3 linked regions of the Struthio camelus genome follow. The protein of the gene in region 3 interacts with the protein of the main gene of each other region in a biochemical or structural test. Links are inferred from orthologs where the notes say so. Each region holds a gene or a part of one and is shown on either strand. Other genes may lie near its edges.

Region 1 (7,390 bases), on a different chromosome or scaffold from region 3:
TGTAGCGCAGAAATCGGTGGGTTTTGGTGCAAGGCCAGCTCCCTGCTGAATTGGCTAAGCAGGCCGGTGGGAACCAGAGCGCCAAGCTCCTTAGATGCTCCCCACAGACCCAAAGCCAAACCAGCAACATTACTGGAATAGTTTAAGACGGACAGATGCCAAAAATCAACCCCAGCTTGATCTCGCAAGGTGCCACAAAAGTTACTCACTGCTTGGAGAGACACTTTCTGCCGCTACAATCATGGCATTAAGAACTGCAGCGAGGCTGGGGAAATACAAACTAAATCACGTGCTGCACAGAGGGAACAAGGGGGAAAGGGCAACAGAGTCTAACCTGGCAAGTTTTAACATGCCTAATGCTTTCTCAACAACTTCCTCACATAACCAAGCCCTCAGCGTACGTAACCTTCCTCCCCATGCAAGCACCTCTCGTGCCACAGTGCACCATTAGTTTGCATGCCTAGGAAGTTATTTCACAACTTCAACATCCTTCAAGCTAGGCCTGGAGAAAAATGATACTCCAGGAAACTCTGTGGCTTGGAGAAACCCCCAGATGCGGGTGAGATGCAGGGCCCCAGGACTTGCCCCAGGCTGGCAGCAGTAGCTGTCCCCTCCCCTGTGGCTTATCTCCCTGCCGCAGCCAGTGGCACAGAGGGCTCCTCGCAGACATGTGCTATCAGAGGGACAGGAGCGGTGCTGCTGACCCCTTGGCCTCCCTCACTGCTGCCCTTCTCTGGCATTGACCCTTGTCCCTGGGACTCTGTCCCGTGTCCTCCAAGCAGCATGTCCGCAGAAGATTTGGGTGATCTTGCCAGTAGGAAGGGGGGGAAACTGGTGCAGTCCAGGTGGGCAGGGGGATGCCATAGATGGCCCCCCACACAGACACCCCAGCCACAGGGGAAAAGACCTGCTGTCCCCAGGGCTGGAGCACAGAAAGAAAGGTGCCTCTGGCACAAAAGGCAGATTCCTCTGACTATAACTTAGCAATGCTGATTTGGCAACAGATAACCCCCACCCCAAAAACTAGAGCCCCATCAGTCTATCCTGCTGCAGTCCTCCCTCCTCACAGCCCACACCTGCGAGATCATTTGCTCTAGGGTGGGATCTCCTCATTGGAGGGATACCTGGAGGACCAGAGGGCAGATGGGAGCATCTCTTTGCTCTCCTACTGCATCTCCCATCAAGAAAAGGAGCATTTCCCGAGGGCAGAATACCCTCAGACATGAGTGATCAGCCTGGTTTTGCAAAGCCAGGTGCTAGCATCGCAGTCTGACAGGACCAGACAGCCAGAAAGCAAAGAGGAAAAATGAGAAAAGATGGGAGGGTGAACTACACAGAGTAGAGCTCAATCCTCCTGGTGCTAGGCTACCAATCTCAGCATGCCACACCTGCAAGGCCAGATAGGCTCAGTCACCCTTCCCACGCTGTGATGGGTCCCATCTCACCCCATGGGCACGACCCCCCACAAGAGGCACCAGGACATGCTCTGGTCCCAACCCAGGGGAGAGGAGCCAAGCATGAATGCACAGAGCCTAACAGAGAGGCAGTGTCCCCAACGCCTCCGTAGAAGGGACCGCTGGGTGACTAACCCCAGCTAGGTATGAAGAGCAGCCGTGTGTGGGCGACGGGTGAGTCACAGTGGTCCCCTCCCCAGCAGCCACCATTGCCACTATCTGGAAGGCAGCATAGTCCAAACAGGCATACGCACCCAGCCCAGGACTGAACACCTGTGGGCAAGGGGTGCCACATGCATCAGAGGGCTCTCCCTTCCTGGGGCACAGCTCTCACTTGTAGGGCACGACCCAGGGACTGTGGGATCATGGCTCCTGCCCCCTTGCTTGGGAGCCCCTGGGACTGCCATGCTAGGGGCACCAGGGACACCCCCCTCAGGCAAAGCTGCCAAAACCCAACTGCCCTGACCTACAGCTACAAGTCCTGGGCTCTTGCCTGCTGCCCAGGGCTCCCACCCTGCCCCACACCCAGGGCTGGCACCATGGGGCAGGGACACCTTTGGGTGCCACAGCATGGGGCAAGGCAAGGTGCACATGCAGGGTGTTGGGGTACTGGGAGCTCTCAAGCAGTACCCTCGTGCCCAGCCCAGGCATTGGATCCAGCCCACTGTCACCCAGACGGCGATGGTGGCCTCCCCTGAGGCAGCCCACAGAGAGCTAGAGCTGCCACCCAGGGGGCACAGGGCTGCTCCAGCCTCACATGTTCCCCCTTGAAACTGGGCCAAGCCTGCCCCCGCCAGCTCCAGATCTGCACCAACACCCAGTGAGCATTTGGATTCAAATCAGGCTTGGCACCGAACCCACACTGCCTCCGGCCCCAAACTGGACCAGGACCCAAAGCAAATCCATATCTGAACCAAGCCGAGCTCTCCCTGCCCAGACTGGGATCTCAACCCGAAGCGGGTCCCCCTCTCTCCTTGTCCATATCCGACGCCACCCGGGTCCCCCTCAGCCCGCTCCGTACCCGACGCTCGAGGCCCTTCCCGCCCCGGGGCGCCGGTGCGGACCGACCCGACCTGAGCCCCCCCGAGCCAGCCCCGGCTCGCCGCGGGGGCCGGCTCCCAGCCCGCGCTCCCGCCCGCCCCAGGCCCCAGCCTGCCCCCGCTGGTACCTCTCGGCAGCTCGCTGAAGTCGTCCCCCGAGGCCACTCCGCCGCCCTCCTTCTCGGGGCTGCCGCGGAGTAGCGGCGCCGTGGCCGGGACCGGGGCCCCTCCACCGCCGTCCTTGTGGAGCACCTCGTTGTGCAGCACGTCCCGGCCGAGCCCGCCCGCCGCCGCGGCGCACACTGCGCAGGGAACAGGGCACGGTCAGCGAGGCCAGGCGCGCCGAAGCCCACATCCGCTCCCGCTCCTCCCGCGACTCTCACCTGCGGCCAGCAGCGCGTTGATCACCACCACCACCCGCCCGTCCATGGCTGCCCTGCCGGCACACGCCTCCTGAAAGCCGCGGAAGCCTTTTCCCAGCCCCGGCCCCGCTCCGGCCCCGCGACCACGTGCTCCGCTCGGCCCCGGACCGACTGCAACTCTCGGCGCGCCCGGCCCCGCCGCGGGTAGAAGGCAGCGGGCAGCGGGGCGGGCCCAGGCGGGGCTGCGCTTCTCCACGCCCCGCTGGCGGGGCCACGGCCCTGCCCCGGCCCCGGCCCCGGCCCCGGCCCCGGCCCCTGCGCCTGCCCCTGCGCCTGCCCCGGCCCCGGCCCCTGCCCCGGCCCCTGCGCCTGCCCCTGCCCCGGCCCCTGCGCCTGCCCCTGCCCCTGCGCCTGCCCCTGCCCCTGCGCCTGCCCCTGCGCCTGCCCCTGCCCCTGCCCCTGCGCCTGCCCCTGCCCCTGCCCCGGCCCCTGCGCCTGCCCCTGCCCCTGCGCCTGGCTCCGGCTCCGGCTCCGGCTCCGGCTCCGGCTCCGGCTCCGGCTGCGGCTGCGGCGGCGCTGCCCGGGGCGGGACAGGCCGGCCACAGCGAGCCGAGGCAGCCCGTGCTCCGGGGCGCGGGACCACAGCCGGCCGCTCCCAGCAGCCGAGAGGGGCCGCGGCAAGGCAGCTGCACGCCGGCTCCCAGGGTGCTGTCTCCTTGGTGGGGGAGATGAGCAGGGGCACCCCTAGGCCAGGGCCTCTGCCCTGCTGTCGACCTCAGCCCTGCGGCAGCCCTACTGCGAAGCCCCCGCGCCTCATTGCTTCAGTGTCACGCAGATGGGCAGGCTATAGGGCATCCTGCCACCTCCTGGGCCGCGGGCCCCCTGCTCTACCGTGGGGTCAGGATGGGCATTGTTGACACCTTGTCTGGCGTGGTGGCCTGCATGGAAGCCAGATGGAGTCAGAGAGGTTGCCCAGCTGCTCCTCATGCTCCCCGGTGGGATTTCTGCTCTGTTGCAGTGGAGGGAACACATGTTTCATGGCGGCTGGATCCTGCAGCATGCACAGAAGAGCTGCTGGAGGCCTCCCATGGCTGCAACCCCCCAGCACAGGCATTGGCAGAGACGAGAGGTCCTTCATTCCCAGTCACACTGATAACACCACCACTGCGGTTAGCAGAGGGGTGAGAAGTGCTGTGCACGCTGTCAGCTCAACAACAGGAACAGACTATTTTGTGGAGAGGCCAAGGAAGCTCTGTAGTCCAACAGTTAGAGCTGGAAACAGTAAGAGGTGCTGTACTAAAACTGTAGAGGAGAACAAATGGTTTAGAAAAAGTGGATTGGAAACCTTCTATTCTCTCCTCTCGTGCAAGGCAGGAAGAGAAGAGATCACTGAGGATTCAGCATGAACCATTGCACTGTGGAACTCACTGCCACAGGATGTTGCTGAGATCAGAAGATTAGTGCTCAGAAACAGCCCAGAAGATATTAGGAGGAATAAGGGTCTCCAGTAAGTTCACCCTGCAAGAAGAACATCACACAGGAGGCAAGAAATCATGTTCAGGGCTGTTAACCTGTTTCTGCCATTAGCAATGAGGATGACACCCTGTTAGGGGACAGAATTTCACCCACATGCACTTTACCCTGGTGCCACCCTAAATTGGAGGAGGGACTCTAGGGCAGTCTACGAAGATGGTGGAGATCTTTCTGGTTAGAGTATAGAAGACCTCGAGCCACCTTTGTGCCTAGATGGAGAACCCATTAAACAGGTTGATTCATAGCTTCATCACACAATCCTGTATGAACCCAACTTACTCAGCCAATTTCCGAGCTCCTGGCCTCATGGTGCTCTTTTCCTTAGTTCCGGTCTGTGGTGTTTCTGTTTAGGGGCTGGCTGTGTTTTGATCCATCTCTTTTATCATGCTGGGAATCACTTTGGCTCTTATTGTATTTGGCCTCATTTTCATCCCAGGTGACAGGCTAGAAAACAGTGATGACGCCAAATGTTGGGCAAGTAGAGCAGCTTTGCATTGTTCCAGGTTGCATTTGGGATGGCCACATCCCCCTGATTATTCCTCGTGGCAGCTCCAATTCCCAAGCCCCGAACCCTGGTGCCAGTTTCGGTTCAGCAAGGCACTGTAGTAGCGTGATTAAATATTCCTGTGATTGTTGTTGTTGTTTCCAAGGAATACTTCCGGATTTGGCAACCCCCGCACACACACCCTCCTTCTTGCTCAGACTTGACTTTTGCAATTGTTTGCTGGATGGTGTTCCTTCCGGCTCCTCCAGTCATCATCAGCCTTAAAGTATTTGGAGGCCAGAACTGCTAGTGCAGACAAGATGAGTTCATCACAACCCAGTGATTCCTGCTGCTCTGACAGATGAAGGTATTGGTTGCCTTGAAGACTCCCATGCTATTTGCTTCCCAGTTATGTAACTGCTTCGGGAAGGGGTTTGCTTCCCTGGTAGTTCCCTGACACGTTCCGCCAAAATCCCCCCAGGAGGTTCTACAGAGTTGATGCATGGGATATGTGGGAGGTGTGTTTGCTGACTTCCCTGGCACAATAAAAAGCCAGTGAGCAAGTTAGGATAGGAAGGCAGCAGGTCACATCATTTGTGAAGACGACTTTTTTTACTGCACTCCTGAACCCTCACAAAATGTTTATGTCTCTGGCTCAAAGGGTGGGCAGTTGTAAAGGGTTGTATTTTGAGGCTGTGGCTCATGCAAAGAGACCTGAAAGACTTCATAACATTGGTAGTACAGTCTCCTGGCTGGGCTGTGCAGCTCTTGGGGGTGACATGATGAGATGTGTCAAGTCTTATGTGTCTGAGCCCAGCATTTTGCCTGGTGAACCAGGTTCGAGTCCCCAGATTTCCTGACTGGTGCCTAGGCACAGAAGCAGCCTTAATGGGACTAGTGACCAGTGGGACCAGCAGCTGAGCCTACTAGTAGCAAAGGAGTGGGATGGCTTTTCCCTCTATTTCCTGCTCAGAGGTACAAAGCAGACCCTGAAATCCTTCATTTGTGCCCCTGGGACAGGGCAGGGCCAGTGTTTGTTGGCCTCTTTCTCTTAAGCAGCAAACCTTTAGCAGCTGTCATTCCTGTCTGCCTCCTCCCAGCCTCTCCCATCTGCCTCTCAAAGCCCTCCTGCGGTCACCAGCAGTCCTCATGGCCTGAAGACCTTCTACTGGCTTCCATTAATGTGGGCGTTACAAGCTCACCTGCTCTGAAGCTCAAGATTCTGCACGCATGCCTGCCTCGTCCTACCTGTATACTGTCTGCCTTGCTGCCCCACGTCCCTCGCATCTGGGGAGCAAAGAAGCCAGCTGTGGCTGACAGCCATAGAACTTGGCCCTCTCCTAGCCACAGCACCGTTGCCACCAAGACCCTTGTGCGGGAGAAGCAACTCTCTTAACAGGGGTACAGGACCAAAAAAAACCCATGCGCTTTCAAACATATTAAGAATCATCTTTCAAGCATTCAGGCTCTACTAATGAGACCCTAGGAAGACCTGCAAGAAGGCTGGTGTGCCCTGAAGCCTTGCCCCTCTTCTTATCTGATCAAGCAGCTGATACTGCTGCTTTTGCAGCTTTGCCTTGCTTCCATCCATAGCCCATCAAGGCTTCAGCACGGCTGCTGTGTTTTATGGGAATGCTGAGGTCAATAAAAGTGTTGTTTTGCCCTGGAAACGGCTTCAAGACTTGCTCAAGACAGGTCAGCCCTTGCTAACTGGCTGAAATTGGGCAAACACTGCCAGCCTGTTACCCTGCCAGTGTCAGAGTGGTTTCAGGTGCTATTCCTGGCCCTGGGCCTGTGCCAGTTTCAGTGGCTTTACAAACACATTTTTTTTCCTGTTCTCCAAACTGCCCTTCTCTCTGGCCACTGTCTGAAAAGACTTTTTGCAAACAGAGGAGAAAAATGGCTGAAAAAAACTAGCCATTCAAGAAGAACCAAGACAGAAGCCAAGCTCAAAGCCTTGTCCAATATATCAAGGAAACACCCTGGGAAAGATAAAGTTGTTTACAGATCCCTTTCATCTCCTCTCCTTGCAGCGGTATGTTGAAAACCACGTAGAAAACAAATCCAAGTACAAACACGATCTTCTTTCCGGGTTCCTGCATTCCTTTCGCTCTGTGGCTGTGCCTCGTGAAGCCATCTTCCCTAAAGTGCTCTGCTGGCCTGTTTCCTCCGGGGCCCTTGCTTGCGGCATGAGAAGATGGTGCACGGGGAAAGCAGTGGCTGCTCCAGCCTCCAGCTCCCCCAGCCACTCCTCTGGGATCGCCTGGAACAGGGCTGGGCACCGGAGGCTGGGATCTGCCCTGTGGTCCATGCCAATGTGCACACCCCACTGCTGGCATTCACCTCTGCTCTCAAAGCAAACTGCAGCTCAGCTTTTCCATGCCACCTGCACAGGTGGCTGTTAACAGGCCAAATGAAAGTTGCCGCATAACTCATGGTATGCAGACTGCCCATTTACATGCCATGGCACACTCCTTAGCAAATGCTCTTATCGCAGAGCAAACAACCATGCTGGTG
Region 2 (8,032 bases), on a different chromosome or scaffold from region 3:
GCTCGCACAAGGAGAGCCAGCTCCAACACCACACACACCCGTGCACAGGGAGCCGGTCCCCTCCACACACACCCATGCAAGGGGAGTCAGGCTCCTCGTGCACACTTGAGCAAGGAGAGCCGGCGCCGACCCCGCGCACACCCGTGCAAGGAGAGCCAGACCCCTTCATGCCCACCCGTGCAAGGAGAGCCAGCTCCGCCCCTGTGCACGCCCGGGCAAGGGGAGCCGGTCCCCTCGTGCACACCCGTGCAAGACAGCCAGACCCCCTCCGTGCACGCCCGTGCAAGGAGAGCCGGTCCCCTCGTGCACACCCACGCAAGACAGCCAGACCCCCTCCGTGCACGTCCGTGCAAGGAGAGCCGGTCCCCTCGTGCACACCCACGCAAGACAGCCAGACCCCCTCCGTGCACGCCCGTGCAAGGGGAGCCGGTCCCCTCGTGCACACCCACGCAAGACAGCCAGACCCCCTGCGTGCACGCCCGGGCAAGGGGAGCCGGTCCCCTCGTGCACACCCACGCAAGACAGCCAGACCCCCTCCGTGCACGCCCGGGCAAGGGGAGCCGGTCCCCTCGTGCACACCCACGCAAGACAGCCAGACCCCCTGCGTGCACGCCCGTGCAAGGGGAGCCGGTCCCCTCGTGCACACCCACGCAAGACAGCCAGACCCCCTGCGTGCACGCCTGTGCAAGGAGAGCCGGTCCCCTCGTGCACACGTGTCTCCGGGGCCGAGTCCGTGCCGGGGGGGCCCGCGGCTCAGCCCCCCACAGCAGAGGCAGCGCTGCCACCAAGCCCACCGTGCCGCGCACCAAACCCCGGGCGAGACTGCAGCGAGGACGGCGTCCTGCCACCGTCCCCCTGGGCACCCACGTGCCGCCGTGTCCCCCCCCCAGGCTGCAGAACCCCGGTTGACCCGGGGCTTCCCGGAGCCGAGCGAAGCCCAGCGCTTGCGCTCGGCCCCGCGTACAGCGCCAGGCGCGCGGCCCCAACCCACCACCCCAAACGGGCAGGGAGGACGCGGGGAAACCCCCCCCCCCATCGCCGCCCCCTCCTCGCAGCGCCGCGCCGGCAGCGTTCGCTCCGGGCTGCTCAAAGCCGCCTGGCAGAGATAAGCGGCTTAGAGATCCAGCTCTAAAAATACCCGCCGGGTATTCTTAGCCGCTGGCAGGCGGCGAGCGCCGGCCCCGGGCACCGGCTGCGAGGAGGAGGCAGCGGGCCGGGACGGCGGTGGGGGGCACCGCGCGGCGCCGCGGGAAAAAGGGCCAAGCGGTTCCCGCGGCAAGAAGCAGGCGGGCGGCAAGCGGCGGCGCGGGGCACCTCGGAGCGCCGCGGGGATGGGGGTCACCCACCCGCCCCCCCCCCCGGCGGCACTCACCTGCGGCGGGCAGGGCGGCGCGGAGCTGCGCGCGGGACAGCAGCTCCAGGGCGGGCCGGCGGCGAAAGGCGAGCGCCCCTCCGAAAGGGTCGGCGGCGCGCCGCGGCGCCCAGGGCAAGGGGCCCGGCGAGCGCGCCGGCGGGTTCGGCCGCCCCACGCTGCCCTGCCGGGGCTCGGCGTGCCGCTCTCCGCGGCCCGGGGGGGGGGGGCCCTGGGGGCCGCTGGAAATAGCGGGAGCGCGGGAGGAGCCAGCTATAAATAGGGTGGCGCGCTAGGGGAGCCGGGCTCCGGGGACGCCCGCCGGCACCAGCACCCGCCGGCTCCGGCACGGCGGGGGGACGTGCTGGGTACAATGCAAAATCCCCCCAAATGCAGCGCTGAGATGGGGGTGGGGGGGGGGAACAAATCACTGCTCGCCACTGCCCCAGCCGCTGGCTGGGGGTCGGGGACCAGGCTCCCCCCACCCCGCGCCGGGGTCCCAGCCCGCAGCAGGGTCCCGCGGGCACGGCCGCCCCCACGGGTGCCGCTCCGGCCCCCCCACGCCCCATCGCCCAGCAGGGTCACCCCGGCACCCCCAGCCCCTAAATTGCTCCCGGTGGTGTGTTGTGTCCCCCCCCCCCCAAGGAGACCCTAATTGCTCGGGACGTTAATCCGCATCAGCGCTGCCAGGAATAACATCCTGGTTGCACCGAGGGGGATTAACACCCCCCCCCAGGACCCCCCCCCAAACCCCCAGTGGCGCCGACAGCCGAAACCGGGAGCCGTTTTCTGCCGGATCAGTGACGTGAACCGGCTCACGCTCCCGGGGGGGGGGCACACGACGGGGACCCCCACGAGCCACACGTCCCACTGCCGCCCCCCCCCGCGGGGGGGGGCCGTGCGTAAACCCCCCCCCCCCCAGCAGGCAGCCACGTTTATTTACCAGCGTGTTTAATCCGAGCCTGAGACTTTTAATAGCCGGGATATTTATGGGACGCCTCCCCCCGTGCCGCCCCCCCCCCCCAACCCCGGCCCCCCGCCCGCCGGGGCGCTTTGGGGCTTGACGTCAGCGGAGCTATTTTTGGCACCGCCGTCGGGCAGGAGGCCGCGGGAACGAGCCCTCGCCGGCCGCCGGACCCCCGCGGCACGCACCGCCCCCCCCCTCCACCCCGGCTTTGGGGCTGAACTGGGAAAACGGGTGCAAGCAGAGAGCGCTCCCCCCCCCCAAATCCCACCCTGGGGTGCATCAAGCATCCGAAGAGCATCGCGGACCCCGACCCGGTCTCGGCCACCAGGTGCCCGGGACGGACGGGAGCCTGGCGACGCCGGGCTGAGACCTGCCCAGCTCATCACACGCGGCCCGCCGAGCAGCAGCCGCCCAAGCTCAAGCCGCCGGGCTTCGGCTCCCAAAAGCACCATCCGAAAAGCCCGGCTCGATCCAAACGGGGGAAGAAGAGGGGGGAGGACGGCGGAGCGGGAGCAGAAAGGGAGGGAAGGGGCCGGGCCGGGCCGACGAGCGGCTGCGGGGTCCCTGAACCCATTTCGCAGATGGGGTAAAGAGGACGGGGGCAGCGGCGGAGCCCCCCACCCCGGGCCGGCGGCAGGTGGGCAAAGGGGGGGGGGGGATCCCGCCCCGCCGGCGCTCACCTGCGTCGCTCCGGGAGTCCATGGCGGCCGGCGGGACGGGACGGGACGTCGCGCAGGAGGCCGAGGCGGGCGGCTCGGCCGAGCGGCCTCAGCACCGCTGCGCCATGCCCCGAGGAGGCCCTGCGGGAGGGAAGGCAGGCGAGCGCCGTCAGCGGCCCGGCCGAGCGCCCGCCGCGAGGCCACGGTGGCGGCCGCCGCGTTACACAAGGCTCCGCAGGGAAACGGGAGGGGGGGGGGGGCGGCCGCGCGCGGGGCAGCGGCTGGACACGCGCGGGGCAGCGGCGGCCGCGACCCTGCATCGGGGGGACCCCGCACCCGTGGCAGGTTTGGGGTGGGGGGCGGTCAGCGATAGAGCCGAGACCGGTGCAACACCCCCCCCCCAAACATGCGTTTGCAAACAGCCCCTCTGCGGCCCGGGCCCCACGCACAGCGGCGGCGCGGATGCACGGGGGCCCCCCCGGCATTGCACGGCCCCCCCACCCACCATTGCATAGCCCCCCCCCCTCCGGCATTGCACGGGCCTCCCCCCCCGCCCCGCATTTCACGGCCACCCCCCACCGCATTGCACGGCGCAACCCCCGGGGCACGGGCCCCCCCCCGCCGCATTGCACGGGGCCCCCCCTCTCGCCTCGCCCGGCATAACGCGCGCTGCACGGTGCGTGTGTGTGTCCCCCCCCCCCCCCCGCGCGGCATCGCCCAGCGCATCCAGCGGTGCACGGCGGCCCCCCCGCCACATCGCCAGTGCGCGGTGCCCCCCCCCCCAAAAAAAAAAAAAAAAACGCCATTACATGCTCCCCGCGTTGCACGGCGCCCCCGCCCCGGTGCACGCCGCACCCCCCCCCGGTGCACGCCGCACCCCCCCACCCCCCCCGGCGCGCGGGGCCGTTACCTGCGCGGTGCCGGCGCCTAGCGGGGCCCCGCGCGCCGCCCGCCGCGCGCCCGGCCCGGCCGCGCCGCCCCGCGCGCGCCCCGCCGCCCCTCCATCTTCGCCGCGCGGCCCCGCCCGCCCCGACAACAACATTCGGTGACGTCACTCGCCGTCACGTGACGGAACCCTGCGCTAAAAATAGCCTCGCCGCCACCGCCCCCTCCCCCCCCCCCGCCCCGCCGCCGCCTCCCTCCCGCCCCCTCCCCGCCGTCCTCCTCCTCCCCTCCCGCCCGCCCGCCCCGGGGGCGGGGCGCTGCGGGGCAGCGGGCGCGCGCCTTAAAGGGCCCGCGGGGGCGCGCGCGGGAGCGCGCACCGCGGGCTCGCGTGCAACGGCACACGGGCGTGCGTGTGCACTGTGGGCTGGTGTGCAATGACACGCGTGTGTGTGTGTGCGCGCACTGCAGGCTGGCGTGCGACAGCGCACGTGTACGCGTGCATGCACTGTAAACTGGTGTGCAACGGCACGTGTGTGTGTGCACACTGCAGGCTGGCGTGCAATGGCACCCTGTGTGTGCATGCAGTCCAGGCTGGCGTGCAACGGCACACGTGTGTGTGTGCACATGCTCACACACAACGGCATACTTGTGTGTTCACGCGCTGCAGGCTGGCATGCAACAGCACAATTGCGTGTGTGCATGAGTGTGCATGCATGCACACGCTGTGAGCTGACGTGCAATGGCACACATATGCATCTGTGCACTGCAGGCTGGTGTGCGTGCGTGCATGTGTGCATGCACTGCGGGCTGGCAGGCAATGGCATGCGTGTGTATACCATGGGGCTGGCATGCAACAGCGCACATCTGTGTGCATGCACCACAGCCTGGCGTGCAATAGCACCTGTGTGTGTGTACACCACAGGCAGGTGTGCAACAGCACACGTGTGTGCATGCTCGCCAGAGGCTGGCATGCAAAGGCACACGTGTGTATGCACGTACACACCATGGGCTGACATGCAATAGCGCACGTGTGAGGCTGTGTGTGTGCCACAAGCTGGCACGCACATCTGAGCAAGCATGAGTTGCGTGCAACAGGCTGGTGTGCAATGGCACACACCTGGGAGTGCACGTGCACAAGAACTGGTGTGCAATCGCACTTGTCAGCGTGGGACAGGCTAGCAAGCAGCAGCACACACGTGTGAGCAGACGCGTGATATGCTAGGGTAGAGCTGCCCGTGTCCGATTGCGTATGTGCAAGCCTGGCGTGCAATTGCACACGTGTGGCAACAAGTATGTGCGACAGGCTGGCCTGCAGCTGTGCGTGTTTGAATGTGCATGCAACAGGTTGGCCTGCAGTGGCACACGCGTGCGACTGCGTGTGTGTGGCAGTCTACCGTGCAGCTGCACATGCGTGTGCAGCAGGCTGATGGGCAACAGCACATGCAAGTGAGTGTGCACGCACAACGGCCTGGCGTGGAACAGCACACGTGTGCCAGCGCTCACATGCAGCAGGCTGGTGTGCAGCCACACGCACTTCGGCGTGCACGCACAGGAGGCTGCCACACAGTTGCACACGGAAACAAGCATGCATACAACAGGCCAGCGTGCAAGTGCACACAAGCGAGGGTGCACGCACGTGCACGTCTGCGGTGCACCGGCGTGCAACTGCCTGCAGGGACGCGCACAGGAGGCTGGTGTGTGCAAACGGGTGCACTTGGAAGGGGGGGAGCAGGGGCTCTGTTTCCCCGTAACAGCCCCCACCCCGGACACCACGTGCGGTGCGCTGCGTGTGCGGTGCACTGTTGCAGCACGCGCGGTGTGCTGCGTGTGCATTGCGCTGTTGGCAGGGTGTGCAGCGCGCGCGGTGTACTGTTTACAGGGTGTGCAGCGCGCGGGGCGCGCGTCGGGCAGGGGCCGCCGAGGGATGAATCACGGCGCGGCCGCGGATGTGGATGAGGATGCGGTGAGTCACCGCGAGCGAGCGAGCGCCCCCGGGGACGGCCCCGCACCGCGCCGGGCGGGCGCTGCGCGCGCACACACGCGTGCACGCACACGTGTGCACAGCTGCAGGCACACAGGTGCACACGCATGGCCACGCACCGCAGCTACGCACAAGCGCCCGCTCGCACGTAAACGTGCCCGCCCCCACCCAAGGGTGAGGGGGCCGCTGGCCACGCACCCCGCACGGCACCACAGACCCGGCACCGGGACCCTGCACCCCACATGGGCCCTCTGCACCCCACACGGGGCCATGCACCCTGCACAGGGACCCACGCACAGGGCCACGCACCCTGCCCAGGGGATCATGCACCTCGCACGGGGACCCTGCACCCCCCCCATACAGCTACGCACCCCCTATGGGACCTGGGCACCCTGCATGGGGACCCTGCACCCCACATAGGGCCATGCACCCCCCATGGGACCTGTGTACCCTGCATGGGGACCCTGCACCCCCCCCCCCATACAGCCACACACCCCCCCCATGGGACCTGGGCACCCTGCATGGGGACTCTGCACCCCGCACGGAGCCATCCACCCTGCACAGGACCTGGGCACCCTGCAGGGGGACCCTGCACCCCCCTCCCATACAGCCATGCACCCCACATGGGACCTGGGCACCCTGCATGGGGACTCTGCACCCCACATGGGGCCATGCACCCTGCACAGGACCTGCGCACCCTGCACGGGGACCCTGCACCCCCCATACAGCCACGCACCCCCCATGGGACCTGTGCACCCTGCACGGGGACCCTGCACCCCCCATACAGCCACGCACCCCCCATGGGACCTGGGCACCCTGCATGGGGACCCTGCACCCCCCATATGGCCATGCACCCCCCATGGGACCTGGGCACCCTGCACGGGGACTCTGCACCCCGCACGGAGCCATGCACCCTGCACAGGACCTGGGCACCCTGCAGGGGGACCCTGCACCCCCCATACGGCCATGCACCCCCCATGGGACCTGGGCACCCTGCAAGGGGATCCTGCACAGGGCTCTGCACCCTACATGGGGACCCTGCAGGGGCCCACGCACACTGCAAGGGACCCATGCACCCCGCACAGCACCCTGCACAGCAGCCTGCACCCCACACGGGGGCTGCTCCAGCCGGGGAGGCTGCGGGGCCGCAAGTCCCCCTGGTGTCTGGGGCAGGTTGGGATGGACGGACAGACAGCCGGGCTGGCGGGGTGGGCGGGCAGAGGGACACAGGGACATGCGGGATGGACAGACAGACGGATGGCTGGGCTGGCGGGGCGGACGGGCAGCGGGACAGGTGGGACAGACGGACAGATGGACGGCCAGGCTGGTGGGCAGAGGGACACAGGGACAGGAGGGACAGACAGATGGATGGACAGACGGGCTGGTGGGGTGGGCGAGCAGAGGGACAGAGGGACAGGCAGGATGGACGGACAGACAGACAGCCAGGCTGGCAAGGCAGGCGGGCAGAGGGACAGGCAGGACGGGCGGATGGACAGCCAGGCAGAGGGACAGAGGGACAGGCGGGATGGACAGACAGACGGCCGGGCTGGCGAGGCAGGCGGGCAGAGGGACAGGCAGGACGGACGGATGGCATGCAGCATGGCTGGACGGGGGGGTGATGTGTGGGATGGAGGGACGGACGGACGGGGCGGACGGACAGCTGGACAAGCAGGCGGCTGGAGAGAGGGATGGCTGGGCGAGCAGACGGACGGACGGACGGACGGACGGACACAGGGCCGAGAGAGGGCCCCAGGGTGCCCAGGATGGGCAGACGGGCGGGACGGACGGACGGACGGACGGGCAGCCCCCGGCGGCGGCAGGCCTCCTGCCACCTCCCCTTTAAGACAAGCCGCGGCATAACTGCCCGCCGACGGGAGCCCGGGCGCCGGCGCAGAGCGGCGCCGAGCCGGGCCCCTTAAAGGGGCAGCGCCCGGCGGGGCCGCGGGTTCGCGTCCCGGCCCCGCCGCCGCCGCCGCCGCACTTCCGCCTCCCGCCGCCGCCGGGCCTGGGCCGCCGCGGCCCGCGCGCGTGGGCGGGGGGCCCCGCCGCGCCGCTGCCATGGTAACGCCGGGCGGGAACGGGCCTGCGGGGGGGGAACCGGCACCGAGCCCCGCGGGTCCCCGGGGCGGGCAGGGCCCGGCAACGGCGGGGGTTGGGGTCCGTCCTGCCGGGGGGGACGGGAAGCACCG
Region 3 (7,198 bases):
GCCGGGCCGGGCGCCGCCGCCGCTGCCGCGCCCCGGCCCGACGGCACCGGCGGAGCGGGCGCCCGCGGGGGGCAACGTCCATCAGGTGGCGGGGGCGCCCCCCGCCCCGCTGCGCGCCCCGCGGCCCCGCTCCGCTGCGCTCCGCGCTGCGCGCACTCACGGCGGGCGGCTGCTGCGGCAGTTCGCACTGCCCGCTCTCATCGCCGCCGCCGCCGCCGGCCGCGCCGCGCAGCAAATCACCGCGGCGCCGGCCCCGCGGGCCGCCCCGCGCCCACGTCAGGCCGCCCCCGGCCCGCCCCCGGCCCCGGCCCCGCCGCCGCCGCCCCCGCCGCCCGCTCCATCTTGACTGCTGGCGCCGCCGCCCCGGCCCGCCCCGGCCCGCCCCGACGGGGCCCCGCGCAGCGCCGCCCGCCCGCCGCCGCCGCCGCCGCGGGGCCGCGCAGCCGGGGCGGGGGGGCGGCGGCTGCTGCTGGACAGCGCTCCGCTCCGCCGGCCTCTGCCAACAACAAACATGGAGGCGGCGGCGGCAGCCAATGAAGCGGCGCCGGCGGCGCGGCCCCCCCGGCCGCCACCTGCAGCCCCCGCCGCGCCGTCGGGGCCGCGCCGCCCCCGGGCGCAGGCAGGCAGGCAGGGCGGCCCCCCCCCTCCGCCCCCCCCCCCCCCAAAACAGCCGCTGCCCTCCGCGAACTCCGCGCCTCGGCCCCGGGCGCAGCGCTGCCGCCGCCGCTGAAGGGCTGCGGACGGTGACACCGGGGGGGGGACGGGGACGGGGGGCGCACGTCGGCTCCGTGCAGCGCGTTTGGTAAAAACAAAGACAGGGCGAAGCAGCTGGCCGCCCCCGGCCCGGGCAGGCAGGTGCCGGAGCCTCAGGAGCAGCGCGGAAAGCGCGGCGCGGTTTGCTGCCGCGGCCCCTAGCAGCGAGCGCAGCCAGGAGGCAGCGCGGACGGACAGCCGCCGCCGCCCAGCCCGGGCCGCCCCACGTCCCCACCACCGCCCCACAACGGCATTAGTACAAAGATACCCTTGGGGGGGTAAAGCGGTGCGAACGCAAGCGGCAGAGAATGTTACAGGGAAGTGTGTTTATAATTATAATGGGATTTAATGTACTTTGGGACCAGCTGATAGAGGTCATTTAACAAGAACAGCCTAATCACAGAGGCCTTATAATGAAAGGCGACAGCGCTGAGGTTATTAGATAAGTATTATAATGTAGCATTCGCAGTAGTATAGTTAAGGATAAGGCATCAGCCACCCCCATTTTCCAGGGGTTATAACTCTGCCATTTTAATCGGCAGAAAGCTAAAATTTGGAGTGCCATCAGTCAGCATGAGCGCTGGGTTTTTTTTTTCCTTTTTAATTGCTTAAAACTGCTCGAGTTCCCCCCCCACACACACTTTTAACTCAAAATGAATGGGAGTGGAGAACAGCAAGACAGTGTGGTTTCAGGTGTTTGTTTACCCTCCTCTAACTTTTAAAAGGCTTGATTTCAGAACTGAAATTTTGCAGACAGTTAGGGGTATGTTTTTAGTGTAGCTTGCATGAAATTAAGCTGCATGAGTCCCATTAGCAATAATGGAAATCCCACGGCTAAATTCCCATGCAGCATGCTGAAAATTAACCCCCCAGTCCTTGCTGCGAACTGGTGCATTGCACTTTTTGTTGCTGTTTTAATATATATAATAAAAGCTACCGAGTTGTTTAAGAGACTCGCTTCCTACAGCTACTTTTTTCCCCAGAAAGTATTGGATTGTTGACCCTGAAAGCAGAAATCCTGCCTTTATCCACTGACTAGGTGCATCTTAGGTAGTGATGTGCCTAAATCCTTCAGGGGTTTCAAGCTGTGCCGCAGTGTTTACTGCAGTGGCTCCCGGAGACCCTAGGCAGAATCAAGCCTCTGTTTTACTGTAGGCTGAAAAAATGTGAACTGACTTCGGTTATTCATATGCCTTTTTGTTTTTTGTTTTTTTTCCCTGCTTGCATTGCAATACCATGTAAGAATCTTTAGTTCTAGACATTGCACAAACAGTGCAAAAAAGATGGTGTCCCCCCGCAGAAGAGGGGCAGAAGAGCTGGTCAGAAGCTCTCACCAGAACGTCCTTCTAAAAATCCAAATTTGTCAGTGTATTGCACTCACGGCGTTAAGCCGAGATGACTCAATAGTGGAGAGTTTCCTGCAGCTCAGCCCCCAATAAACTACCACCGCTGAGCACGGTTCAAAACTCACCTGTCTGCCTGCAGCTGGACTTAGAAAAAGCCGAGTCCCCCTCAAACTACCACCGCGGTCTCTCTCCCTGCCCCTCCAGCCAGGCCACCTGGGCTCTGCACACGCTCACCACGGCCAAGAGCCGAGTTGCTTTCCTTGCCTCGACTGTTGAGGCGACAAGTTAATTGAGGCCCCAACCAACTGCTACTTACTCCTTAGAGGTTAAGTAGGAGTTTCAGGGAGTACTAGCACGAGTACTAGTTCCATCAGCTTTCTGCAATACACCAGCCAAGCGCATCTTTGACAACGCCAGAAACAGCTTTTCCCCTCAGAAAGCACACGATTTAGGAGGAGTTGCCCCTGTTTCCTTCCATATGCTTGCAGCCCTCCACGCTCCTGCGCGCACATGGAGCTGGGAAACCCCTTACTAGCCACAAGGCAGAGAGAGTATGAAAAGTATAAAACAGGAAAGAGCCAAAAACTCTTGTCCACAACCTTAAACATCATCGCACTCTCTCCCAGCAAGGCCCCACACTGACAGCGTAGAGGAAACATTAAAAAAATGCAAATTCCTCACTGCACCAGCTCCAGCAAGCATGCTCAAGGCACCTATACCCTCGCTTACAGCAGGTGACTGACTTCCTGTGGAAAAAGAAAGGTCCAACCGCGGAAAGTTCACCCGTCTAAGAGGAGGAACAAACGCGACCACTTGCCTTGGTGTCCCTGCCCTGGAGGGCAGCAGAAACGCAAGGAGCCACCTCCTGCCAGGTTCACGCACCGGACGTGCCGCCTCCAACCTCCTCGCCAGGCTGCAAGTGCTGCGGCTGGGGCAGGGGCGGGAACAGGAGCACCCCCAGGCAGGGCCCCCGCTGCCCCCAGGTGGGCCCCGTAAGGAGGCGGCAGCACCGCCCCAGCCTCCCGCAGCTGGTGCAAAGGGCAGAGCCCAGGCGCTGCCCAGGAGAAATCACCCTCACAAACGGCAGCCTTGGCCCCCGCGGTGGTGTCCCAGCACCCAGCGCGGGAGTTACGGGCTAGTACCCCCAGCAGGGCCCCCCCAGCATATTCCATTTCACTCTCATCTCTCCCCATCAGTTTCCAATTTATCTGCTGTTCTGAAGTTAATCCTCACCTTGTAGTGTGACGTGTTTATTACAGAAGAACCAGCACACTAAACGAAGCCAAGCTGGGTTTCTCCTGTTAAATAGCAGTCACGCCCAAGCGGCTCTCCATGTGCCATTACTCCAAGTGATTGAGGCAATTTCTTCCTCTGCCATGAGTTTAAGTTGTAAATCTCTCAACCAGATACAGAGGCAATGATGTGCTGCCTATTGTGATTATTATTAACCTTTAGCATTAAACTTGTGAGACTTGCACGACGCCTAGAAGCTCTTCACGGGACAGCCACACGTAGCGTAGCGTGCGGGTCCGCATGCGCATCCCTCCCAGGAAACGGAGCGATCGCCGCACAGTAACTTTTTCTCCCGAGTTATTCGTGTATTTTGGATGGGGAGACACAGACATTCACTTTCTTAACATAAATAGCATGGTAAGTGTTTGCAGGCAGACAGAAAGATAAGATTTGCAAACGAAACATGTGCCAAGTTGATGGCCTCTAAGTATTTCAAGGGATAAGGGAAGGCGGTTCCTTGGGCTGCTCCTTGGGCACTCAGCTAGGCATACAGGGACGAAAAGGAGAGGTTAGCCCTGGAGAAAAGGCTTTAGACGCACAAGGTCGTTCCACAGAATTTTCCCAAAACTGCAGCAGAAAAGGGAGTTCCTTGTTTGGGATATGTAGCCCAGCACTCAGGTCTGAAAGCCGCCGGGGAGCGGGGCGCGCTCGGGCTGCCTCGGCTCCGTCAGCCCGCGGCTGCTCCTTCCCCTCCAGCGCGGGGACGGCCCGCGCAGGCGCAGGCTCCTTGCCCCCGCTCTCCACCCCAGAGACGATGACACGACTCCTTATGACTTCTTCAGCCTGCTGAGCCCTACAACGCTTTGGGATGAAGTAAGCCCAACTCCTACAGCTGCACTTTGCTGCGATTTCTTTTACGTCCCCCCCAATACAAGCGAGCAGCTTGGCCTGCCCTAGCTCTGCTCCTGCGCCAAACCGGCGAGGGGGCACCCGCGTCGCACGCAAGCTGCAGAAACGTTAACTTCCCCGCGCTCAGACTAGCGCATTTTGGTATGGGTACCGTTGTGTTCCCTTAGCTGTGGCGGGTTCGGGCAGTTTCCTGGTCTCGCTGCTGTGCGGCCCAATGCTCTAACAGTGGAACGAGGATTTTCGGTGTACCTTAGCGATTTGGGGGCAGGGTGGGAAAGAGCAGCCGTTTTAACCTAAATCATAAAAATCCATGACTTGGGCCATCCCTTTTAAAAGCTGATTTGCGACATTACTCCCAACTCTGGGCGAAGGTTTCAACATGCAAACGCTCGTGCGTAAGCGCACGCGCGACAAGCGCCTGCCCTAGCGCTGTTAGGCACGTCCAGTTCGCTCTGCGACTGAGAGCAGTTCGGCGCTCTGCTGCATATAAGACACACTGACAGGTCATGAAAGAGATGATTAAATGTGCTAGACTTCATTTAAAAAAGAACGCGTCAAGCCGTTTGCGAGGAGGAGCGGGGAGAAGCGCCACGGGCCGGCAGCTCGGGGTGCAGCCCCGGCGCGGCGCTGATCGGCCCCGCGCGCGCCGTGGCCGCACGCGGGAGGAGGGAGTCGTGAGCAGCCCTTCATCGTGCCACCGGCTGCCGTGCCAAGGCAACCGAGAGGGCGCAGCTGCTTTGGGGGACTTTGGGGGCGGCACGATGGTTGGTTGTTTGAAATCCGGGCTCCTTTAAGGAGCATCGCAGCAGAGCAAGAAGCTGGGACCCGAAGTCAGCGCAGCTCAGGCCTTGCCGTGACATTTAGGCTGCAAGCACCTCTGAGTCACACCTAAGCTAGCCCAAAAACCGTGGCTGGCAGCGTTTGCTGCGCAGCGGCGAGGGCTGCGAAAGGCTACAGCGGTGCAATTGCATCAAAAGAGTGAATTAAATTCCCTGCTGGATTTTAAGAACGATGGCTTTTGAGATACCAAGTACCCCCGAAAGGAAACGAGAAACTGCCGTTCCTCCCTCGTAGGCTTTGGCACGCACACGATCGTTTCCAAGGCTTGCAGTTTCCCTGCCCTTTCGCCGTTCCTCCCCCTTGGCCCAGGTTACGCGCGCTGGGAAGCCCGTAAGACAATAAGGCTAATTAGTGGCTTACGGCCCTAAGCCTGCAAACAGCGCGAGCCGGCGGCGAGCTGCGACTGCGGCGGGAGCCGGCGGCGGCCAGCCCGCCTGCATTCCACCCCAAATCCCGGCACAAAGGGGATTTATCCACCGTGACTCAGCGAAGGAGCACAAACTTTACAGCGCTGCAAAACAGGCAGCCAGGCTTTGAACTGGTGTGTTTGTTATATATTGCCCCACCGCCACCACCGCCGCACAGCCTGGTTAGTAATTAAATAAAAATGTCTCCCTCTAGCAGGCGATGACCTAATCATTTGTACAGTACCTATTTTTAGCATTACCCTTTGTATGCATTCAAGACAGCTCGAGCCAGAAGCAGCAACTTCTGAAGCGTTAATAAGCTGGGGTGTGGGGACACTTTGTTTAATTTACTGTGCAATTATTTTTCCTCTTCTCCCCTTCTTTTAACCTAAAATATTTGACATCTCGCACGGGACGGGAAGGAAGATGTGCCAGGACTCTAAATGCCGGCCCGAACCGCACGGCGCCGAGGCGGTCGCGCGTGCGCTGGGTAAATTTCATCCCCCCAAACCCAGGACAGACAAGAGGAGGCCCCAGCACGGCAGTCCGCGGGGGCCGGCCTCATCCTCGGCAATATTAGACCATCTCATTCGAGAGATGCGTTTCTGGATGGTATCCTCCCTTTCCTCTGTGCCCCCGCCCTCGCTTCGGCTTTCCCTGCTCTCCAGAGCGGACATAGCGCTGGGGAAGGGCGATAGTTTCCCTGCAGCACACCAATAATGCTGGCTTTCCCCCAGAACCAGGGTACAGGGCGGTAACTCCCTAAGGGGATGTTCATTCCCCACCGGGCTCGTGCCCAGCTTTGGATACCAACAAGAATTGCAAACTAGTTCTGCAATTCTCATGCTTTCCTGAGCGTGTGATATTAATATATCCTTAACATATTTCTTCAGCTCCTTGCTGCCTTGAAGCAGCGCAGTTCTAGAGCCTCAACGACGCTGGAGCGTAGACCTCGCTTTGGAAAGTGAGTCAGGAACATAACTGGCATTAGCCATCCCATTGGGGAAAAAAAAAAAAAAAGTAAATCTGTATGCTATTTGGATGCTTTTGGCTCAGTTTCATGCTGGAAGGAGCAAGGTGCGTGTGGAGCTCCTGGCCCCAAGCGAACACCTTTACCCCCAGTTCATCCTTCCTCTCCAGCAAGGGCAAAGCTCCGAATCCCATTTCCAGTTGCATGAGTCATCTGTTCCCCTTTTGAAACACGTGTCTGCCAGTGCGCGCGTGTGTATGTGTAGAAGAGGTATTACTATTTTTGACAGTGCAAACAGGCTACAGTTGTGGAAGGTTTTCTCCTCCCCTCCTCTTTTTTCGCATGTGTGTGTGCTAAAGATGCACACAGAGTCCCCACACAGCTGGGGAAGCTTCTGTCCAAGCGGCTCCTCCTCCTTGTCGACTGATCTCCCGCACCAGGAAAAACCTAGGCGACCGAATCTCACACACACACACACACACACACACACAAACCTAGGCAGTTTCTAAAACATTCTGGCAGCCTTACGGAGGTATTTGCATCTCGAAGGAAATCCCCGTTCCTCTCTGCAGCCGTTCCTAACGCCCCTCTGCAAGCCACAGAACGCCAGGACTTACAAGAGAGTCGGAATAAAGTCTGCAGCCAAAAGTCAGTCTAGATCCAAAGTTACATATTAACAGATTTTATTTTCTTAATAATTGCCAGAAGATACAATAAACCCCGGGTATCTTATCTGCTTA

What was found.
Region 1: the proteins of ZBTB16 (region 3) and HBEGF form a complex in vitro, tested with the Homo sapiens proteins (2 studies listed by BioGRID). The link is inferred for Struthio camelus from reciprocal best matches to the Homo sapiens genes ZBTB16 and HBEGF.
Region 2: the proteins of ZBTB16 (region 3) and HDAC5 form a complex in vitro, tested with the Homo sapiens proteins (2 studies listed by BioGRID). The link is inferred for Struthio camelus from reciprocal best matches to the Homo sapiens genes ZBTB16 and HDAC5.

The regions. Positions count from the first base shown.
Region 1 is NC_090954.1:23,590,431-23,597,820, forward strand, and holds the start of HBEGF (proheparin-binding EGF-like growth factor), read right to left. Parts: upstream 3,057-7,390; 5' UTR 2,924-3,056; coding exon 2,878-2,923; intron 2,797-2,877; coding exon 2,623-2,796; intron 1-2,622. UniProt on the Homo sapiens protein: Growth factor that mediates its effects via EGFR, ERBB2 and ERBB4. Required for normal cardiac valve formation and normal heart function. Promotes smooth muscle cell proliferation. May be involved in macrophage-mediated cellular proliferation.
Region 2 is NC_090966.1:4,661,301-4,669,332, reverse strand, and holds the start of HDAC5 (histone deacetylase 5), read right to left. Parts: upstream 3,036-8,032; 5' UTR 3,021-3,035; coding exon 2,999-3,020; intron 1-2,998. Other genes in the region: HROB (homologous recombination OB-fold protein), read left to right, coding at 7,902-7,904. UniProt on the Homo sapiens protein: Responsible for the deacetylation of lysine residues on the N-terminal part of the core histones (H2A, H2B, H3 and H4).
Region 3 is NC_090963.1:637,273-644,470, forward strand, and holds the start of ZBTB16 (zinc finger and BTB domain-containing protein 16), read right to left. Parts: upstream 3,001-7,198; 5' UTR 2,917-3,000; intron 289-2,916; exon of another isoform or gene 161-288; intron 1-160. UniProt on the Homo sapiens protein: Acts as a transcriptional repressor. Transcriptional repression may be mediated through recruitment of histone deacetylases to target promoters. May play a role in myeloid maturation and in the development and/or maintenance of other differentiated tissues.